2 linked regions of the Macaca fascicularis genome follow. The protein of the gene in region 1 purifies or fractionates together with the protein of each later gene. This does not show direct contact. Links are inferred from orthologs where the notes say so. Each region holds a gene or a part of one and is shown on either strand. Other genes may lie near its edges.

Region 1 (3,813 bases):
CCTGCGGCTCCCTCTCCTATGCGTCCTCTGGTGGCCACACTGAGACGCTGGACAGCAAAGTCTTCCTGGGTGGCTCAGCTGAGCCCCTCCCTTTGTCCTCTCCTTGCAGCTACATGCACAAAACTCCTCTCACTGCACCAGGACTATGCTTCTTGGTGCAAACCCCACAAGCCTCCACCGGCTCCAGGGACTGGCAGGGTGCACAGGTGGGTGCTGGGGAGCTGAGGATGTTCCATTTATTGGTCTGGGGCTGACTACATGGGCATGTCCAGTCTACAAACATTCATGGAGCTGGTCACTTATAGGGCAGACATATTATTTGGAGGTATGTATTATTCATTACACTTCATCTGAGGTTAAAACAAAAAGTAAAAGGTACCTCCCGCACCCATCTCTGTGTCGAGTGCGGCGGTCAGGGAGGCTTCTAGGGAAGCCCAATTCACACTGAAATGGAAAGGACAGAGAGGAGAAGGGTGCTGGCTGGAGGCCGCCTGCGGTCAGAGGTGAGAGCTCAGGTGTGAGGAATAGCATCACACATGAAAAAAGGACAAAGGTCTGCATCTCCCTAACACCCAGCTGGAAGAAAAACATAAGCTTTAAAATCAAAACAAAAAATTAATGAGAGTATTTTTTGTTATTCTTGTAATTAGAAACCAAAAGGGAGAGCCTTGAAAGCTTAGGGAAAAAAAATCTCTCAACTGAGTCTTGTCTGGCCAAATTCTGTAAAAAACGAACGTGGAGAAGTGTGTGTAGTGAGACTTCCCCCATTTTAACCCAGTTAGTGCTGACCACAGCCTTGGATTCTTTAGATCAAGAAGAGTCAGTTCAATGAAGTTCAGGCTTAAAAAACACACACCTGCCACAATCCTCTAACAAATCTCCCATTAATCAAAACACATGATGGCTGCAATACTTACAAAGATTCCTTCTTTTATTTTAAAAAATTTTAATTTACATATAAAATAATTTGTTTTCATTTTTAGAGATGGGGTCTGGCTATGTTGCCCAGGCTGGTCTTGAACTCCTGGGCTCAAGTGATCCTCCCATCTCAGTCTCCCAAAGTGCTGGGATTATAGGTATGAGCCACCGTGCCTGGCCAAGATTTCTTCTTTTAATTATATCCCTTTTCTGGCACTAAAATAATTTAAGAGCAAAAATTTAAAAATAGCAACATTTCTGACTCTTACCCAGTTAGGCTCAGATACATAAATAGCCCATTCTGAACTGTTAGAGAGGTACAATCTCAAATACTGACCTAAGTCATTGTACAGAATTACCTGTCTGTGGTCTCTTCCCCATGCACTGACTAATGAAATAACTATACTTCTCACAAGCCTTCAGTAGGGCCACCAATTATACCCATTTTATTTAGGCTAAACCTACAAAAGCAGCCTTGAATAAAACCAAGACTGGGCCTAGTAAAGGCCTACTGTTTTCCCAAAATGAGCATGTGAACTCATGGGTTGTGGCAGGGTCTGATCGGGAGGAACAGGGGTTTCTGAGGGTGGGGTATGCACAGGTACCTGGGTGGGAGGTGGTGTTGCCTGTAGAAGAGATGGACGAGACTGGAGGGGGTCAAGTGCCCACCCTCAGGGGTCCCATCACACTTCTACTTTAGGGTCAGCAGTTTCATGATAAAGGAACTGCACAACTCGTGTTACTGTCACTAAAAATGATTTACACTAATTCATGGATGCAAAGGCAGCGGCACTGCGTATCAGACACCACCACCATTTTGGATTGAAACATCTTGGCTCACATTATAAACTACATTTTCAGCACATGCCACAGCCTTTCTCACTTTGATGAGCTCATAGGAAACAGGGTGATAACCTCGATGTGAGAAGTCTGAGGACACTCCTCCTGGGAAATTGGGAAATGCACGACCCCAGGTGCACCCACCCCGCACGGCAAAGCTGGAGAAATGGCATCAGAACAGACCCAGCGTCACTCCCAGGGGCACGTGTGTTAGGGAAAGGCTTCTGCAGCTCAGCGTCCTTCTCTGTAGCACTTCAAAGGCTAATGTGGAATGGGCTCGCTCACTCGGCTTCACTTGATAAACAATAGCGTAACGGGCTGAAATCTCATTAAAAACCAGTCACCCAACCCAACCAACTCAACCAGCCACACCCACCCCCCCCGGCAACGAAACCACCCAACCAATTAACCAACCAGCCAACCCACCCACCCACCCACCAACCGTTTTCAGATCTAGTAATGGCACTCCCTTGGGACCAGGCAGGGTTTCCTTCCAGGGGACACACCTCTGCACAGGTGCTGGTTTCTCACCAAGACACACCCGGGCTGGAGTCCAGTTTGCTGGACACCCTTCACCATGTTCCATCTAATTTAAGACACACATCAGTCGTACGTAGCACCAGGCCAATTATAAGACATTGAGGTTTTAAGTTTTACCCGATTTCATAGATATTAAAATGTGAAAAAATCTAGGCCCTGGAATTGACGAAATATGGTCATTTCATACTGCATGATGCGGGGGGGGGGGGGGGGTGGGGATAGGGGGGCGCCAACAATGGAGCAAATAACTTAACAATTAAAAAAGTAATGATGCTCATGGACGGACAGGTGAAGAGTTCTGAACTGTCAGCATCTGCCTAAGTCAACCCCAAAGAAATGCCATGAGAACATTCTGAATGCATCTTGGTGGCCCACAGCCTATCTTTCGATCTGCAGCCTGTGCTGTTTCACCTGCGAAGTGTTCGGAATTCCATCTGAACTTCAACTTGCCAGGTGCTGTTCCGAACCTTCAGAGAGAAGGGTGGTCGGTACGTCCACCAAGATTTCTGCTGTAGAATTAGATGTGAGTTTTCCCCTTAGTATTGCAGTATTGTCTAAAGACCACATGTGACTTTTTGCCTTTGTGAAAATAGGAGAAAGACCTTGCTTTAAACACATGTGTCATGAGCGCAAATGCCTTTCATGACTCAGGAGGTGGACCTCACAGTATTCCACCCAGCAGGACTCTCCAAACAGCAGACGTAAACGTTTATTCTTAACTTCTGAACGGCATTGGATAAAGAAAAGGCAACGTATACCCGTAGTGCTGTGATTCTAAACGGATCTCGAAGTCTTCCATCTTCGTCTTTCAGGTTATAACCTTCTGCTCTTTTATCCCGTTCACTTATTTTCCATAATTTTATAGTTTTATCTGAAAATAAAAACCTCATTCTCCATATGAAAAGAAAAACTGTAACATGCATCACTACTGTTTGAGTATTATATTAGAAAGCGGTGTGGCCCTATGTTGGTTTATAAGCTATGGGGTCTTTGAACATGAATATTTCCAATTGGAGGTGTTTTGCACAATAAACAAAGATGTGGAGACGTGCAGAGTAACATCCTAGTAACTTGCACGTGTGGTTTTTGTTGCATACTTTGAATTTTCAACCTATCACTTGCTACCCTAGATAACTTACCCTCCCCACAAAATTTAAAGCAGGATTAACTTCTAAAATAAAAAGAAATCTACACACACAGAAAATTAAAAATAAAACACTAAATCAGCCACTTAGAAAACAATTCTTACCATTTGTAGAGAGTAGAAAATGAGCAGCATTCTGTTGTGGTAACCACCTAATTTTATTAATTTTTTCCTCAATTTCTAGACTTTTCAAATAGTCAAACTCTGGTTCATGACTTTGAAAAGTGCTGTAAACATTATATTCTCCCCTAGAATGAGGGCGGCTTTTGTTCTGCAAAGAAACATGAGAGCTGTTTTAATGAACAAAGCACAGTGCAGAGAAAATTTCTGTACTATAAATTTGAATATCAAATGACCATACGTATTTTTTA
Region 2 (3,813 bases), on another chromosome or scaffold:
TCAGGGGTTTCATTGTTTTCTTCTGAGTGAAGCAAAAGATAATTTGCTTTGGCACTCTTTGGAGGAATTGTGCTTTGGCTCATAACTTGGCCATGTTCTCCATGAATTAGTTCTCCTATTTTTTTTTTTTAACTACCTTAAACTTAAGGGACAATTTCTCCTATCTTGATTTCACTGGAATATAGGCTTTAGGAGCTCTGTAAGGCTGGTATTTTTGTCTGTTTTATCTTCTGTATTGCCAGTGCCTGGAACAGTATCTGGTGCACATAATAGGTGCTCAATAAAAATGTGTTCAGTGGATGAATTTCTAAAATATCCTCTGATGTGTTGTGTACATGGAACAAATCACCAAAAGAACCAGACTGTGTCTTATTTTCCCATCGACACAAAGATTTTCCTGCTCTCAGGAAACAAGCTTTATGTGGCCCTTCTCTGGTCCCCTGGCTTAGACTACAGTTCTGTGTGGATTTGTCTGGTTGCTTCAAACATGTATTGGTTTTCATCCTTGGCAGCTTACATCAGTTGTTTGATTAGAAAAATGAAGCAGACACACACACATACACACACAAACATATTACCTGTGCCGTACAAATGTCTCAGCAGCAATGGAGTTCACCTTGGTGTTTCTCTGCAATTTGTGTGGGGTTTACTCCTCACAGGTTTAAGAGACCAGGTCTTGTTTCTTTCTCTGTGCTGCCAAGAAGATGTGAACCTGAGGATGCATCTTGTTGCATAAGAAGGAAAACAGGTGAATATGTGGTTTCTAATGAGGTCTTGTTGAAATAACGGGCTGCCCTCAGCTCACAGAAATACCACAGCTCGGCCACTGTGATGCAGAGCCCCAGGGGTCTTCGTCCGACAGCTTGTCCTGACTCAACAGTCGGCAGCCTGACCTTTGAGCTGGCTTGCCCAAGCGTTCAGGTTGTTTGCGTAGACCTCTAGGGAAGCAAGCCTGTCCTTCCTGGCCCGGCGGTTAACCTGGTGCACTTTTGTTCCTTTGTTAACCGTTGTGTTGTCACTAAACTGAAAGGCTGGGGCTTGCCCTTAGACGTCACATTGGCTCTGTCCCTGTGGCGACGGCAGGGCAGGGTGGCCAAACAGGTCAGGTGCTTGTCCTGTCCTCTTGCCTTTTACTTAAATTCCTCTGACTTAAAAATGGTGACACTCTTATCGTAAAGCTTCCTATTTTTCTCCACTGCTTGGATATGAAACTAGGGGGAGAGGCCCTGTTGCCCAGTGTTCTCCTGGTTTACCAGCTGAGGTGACTGCAGTCTGATGTGATGTAATTGTTTCCCTTTGATTCTCCAGTATTCCTGTTTCCATCCAGTTCCTTACTCCCCTCTTTCCTCTTCCCTCGCACGTCTCCCTCCAGTCCTCTGTACCTAGAATAGTCTCACTGTCCCCTGTTTGCCTCCACGAGCCTGCTGTTTCCAGGAAATTACATAACGTTCAGTTGGGATGGAAATCTTCTGGAGGACGAATAGAGTTTAATTCCTCATTGCGTCGAAAAGCCAAGTCATTTCTGTCTCCAGAGGTGTTCTCTTAAACTGATAGGAGTTCTGAAAGGAGCCAGGTCTTCCCTGTGGTTGGGGCTCTGGAGGCCATCAGTGACCAAGATGTAGGGAACAGCCAGGTGGACACCAAAAGGCCCTATGGGGCAGCGCTTTCCAGGGCCCCGAGGGAAAGGCACCTCAGCACGACCCTGGACTGCCCCAGCCTTCTCTGCCCAGTGCCCCATGGGCAGAGACTGTCGGCTGCTGCTGGACTTCCCAGCTCTGCTGGCACAACTGAGGGCATCCTGGCTGGGAAGCGCAGGTGGGCTTGGGAGGGATGTGCCCTGGTCAGGGACAGTTACAGCGCCACTGTCTGTGTCTCTAGTGGTGGCACAAAGGCTGAGGAAGCTAGATTTTCCTGTGAAGGACAGTGGAGAACCCAGTGTCCCTCGGGCTGACAAGAACCATTTCCCAAGACCCAGAGTGCCTGGAGAGGACACGGGGAAGGTAAGTGCCCCGGAAGCCTGGGGCCAAGTCCTGCCCTCAGGGCTGCGGGCAGCCAGGGTGGCCTGGTCTGCGGGGAGCTGCCGCAGGGTAGGCTGAGAAGCAGCTCCTCTCACTTTGTCCCCAGGGGAAGAGTCCAATATTAAGGGCCGGGAGTAGATTTTTAAAGCCTGTTGCCAGCTTACTTCGTTCTGGGAGTGCTTTCTGAGGGACGGGTTGCCGGCCAGAGCTGTCACTATTGTAGCTTGAGGCCCATCTCCCATCACCTCCCCGTCCAACAGCGAAGCCCATATAGAGGACACTGGTGGGATTTGGTGAAGAATTGCTTGTAAAAAGGGGCTGTTCCCATTTTCCTCACGTAATACAGAAGTGACTTGCCACAATTCCTCAGTTATTTCCATTCAAGATAAAAATAGTTGCAAGTTTCTCTGTAACAGCTCATGTTCTACAAGCCCCACTGGACGCCACTCTGTGTGGAAATGGTGTGAAAAGCCGCATTTCAGCAGTCGGTGCCAGCCACTGCCCCAGGGCCATTCATTAGGAGGGCGATTTGTGACTTACAGATATATTCAGAAAAGGAGAGCAGCAGGGCTTGGCTGCCTCGTGCTGATGCCAGACTGCGTTTAGTTCATGGGGAAAAATCTGACATTCTCACACCCACTCTAGTGGGTTCGCTTGGTGAAATTCTATGAAGTAACATCAAAAAGGCTGCCTTTTAAGTCACATGGCTTTTCATTTTATGTGAACCGAAACCATGAAAACGTTTTTTCCTGTTGTTGAGGTCCAGAATCGCCTTCGCTCATCTTAGAACGTTCTTGCCTTCCTGAGTGGCTGCACACTTGTCCGTGGGCAGCACCGGTCGTTCCTGCAGTGGCCACACAGTGGGAGGAAGGGCTGGGCGATGACTGTCCGGATGGATTCCCGAGTGGCCAGTCCTTGGAGTCCATGTTCTCTTCACAGAACTGGGCCGCAGGAAGGAGAACTTGGCTGAAGGAGTGGGGGGTGACAGTTACACATTTTTTAGGCCTAAACCACAGACTTCTTTGGGAAGAAAGGGGTTACATCTTCCTACAAATTCAGAGCCAACTGCTCATGCCATAAATGCGTGGTAAGACCCGATCTGAGCGTGGGTCATTGAGGTGGCCCTCCCATGGCTGACCTGCTCAGCTCTGACGGCCCGAGCTGTGCCTCTGCTAGCTGAGGAGTTATTGAGAATTAACTGTCGTTACTTGAGCCTTGGTCACTGCAGCCCCTTGTCAGGCACTTTAAATCTCATGTCATCCTCACCCACCCTAGGTGGTTAAGTGCTGTCATCATTTTTCAGTCCCTCATGAATCTCCCCCAACCTCTGTCATGTCTATTTGAGAATCTTTCTTTCCAGGAAAGGAGGCCCATTGGTGCTAGGCCTCTGAGGCTTCAGTTCATTTAACTCAGAAAAATCCCCCGCCCCATGACTCAGGGAGCCTTCCATGCATTTGTTTCACTTAAGGAAAATGACCCGAGGGGGAGATGGAAAGGGAATTGGCTGTTGCCAGGCAGAACCCTGTGTGTCAGGGGCCAGCAGCCAAGTGAGTGATCCAGGAAGTCATCCAATTGCAACCAGAAATTGTTCTTAACCCCTCACTGTCTAGGGTGTGTAGTGGACTTGCCAGTCTGTCCGAACGGGGTGAGAGTGAGCGCCTTGCTATTGAGAGCCCCGGGAACCATCCGTTCTCAGCCACCCTCAGGGCTCTCAGGGAGCCATTGGACATTCCAGGGGCTGGGCCCATCACTTGAAGAGAGAATGGAAGGGGCAAGAGCCAGTCTCCCTTGGTGA

Evidence for each region.
Region 2: the proteins of PPP2R2D (region 1) and PPP2R1B purify together in Homo sapiens (affinity purification with mass spectrometry; 4 studies listed by BioGRID and IntAct, counting the BioPlex papers as one, with this or other methods). This does not show direct contact. The link is inferred for Macaca fascicularis from reciprocal best matches to the Homo sapiens genes PPP2R2D and PPP2R1B.

The regions. Positions count from the first base shown.
Region 1 is NC_088383.1:140,987,561-140,991,373, reverse strand, and holds part of PPP2R2D (serine/threonine-protein phosphatase 2A 55 kDa regulatory subunit B delta isoform), read right to left. Parts: intron 3,714-3,813; coding exon 3,548-3,713; intron 3,170-3,547; coding exon 3,057-3,169; intron 2,808-3,056; exon of another isoform or gene 2,710-2,807; intron 1-2,709. UniProt on the Homo sapiens protein: Substrate-recognition subunit of protein phosphatase 2A (PP2A) that plays a key role in cell cycle by controlling mitosis entry and exit. Involved in chromosome clustering during late mitosis by mediating dephosphorylation of MKI67.
Region 2 is NC_088388.1:110,657,898-110,661,710, reverse strand, and holds part of PPP2R1B (serine/threonine-protein phosphatase 2A 65 kDa regulatory subunit A beta isoform), read left to right. Parts: exon of another isoform or gene 1-313; intron 314-1,878; coding exon 1,879-2,000; intron 2,001-3,813. UniProt on the Homo sapiens protein: The PR65 subunit of protein phosphatase 2A serves as a scaffolding molecule to coordinate the assembly of the catalytic subunit and a variable regulatory B subunit.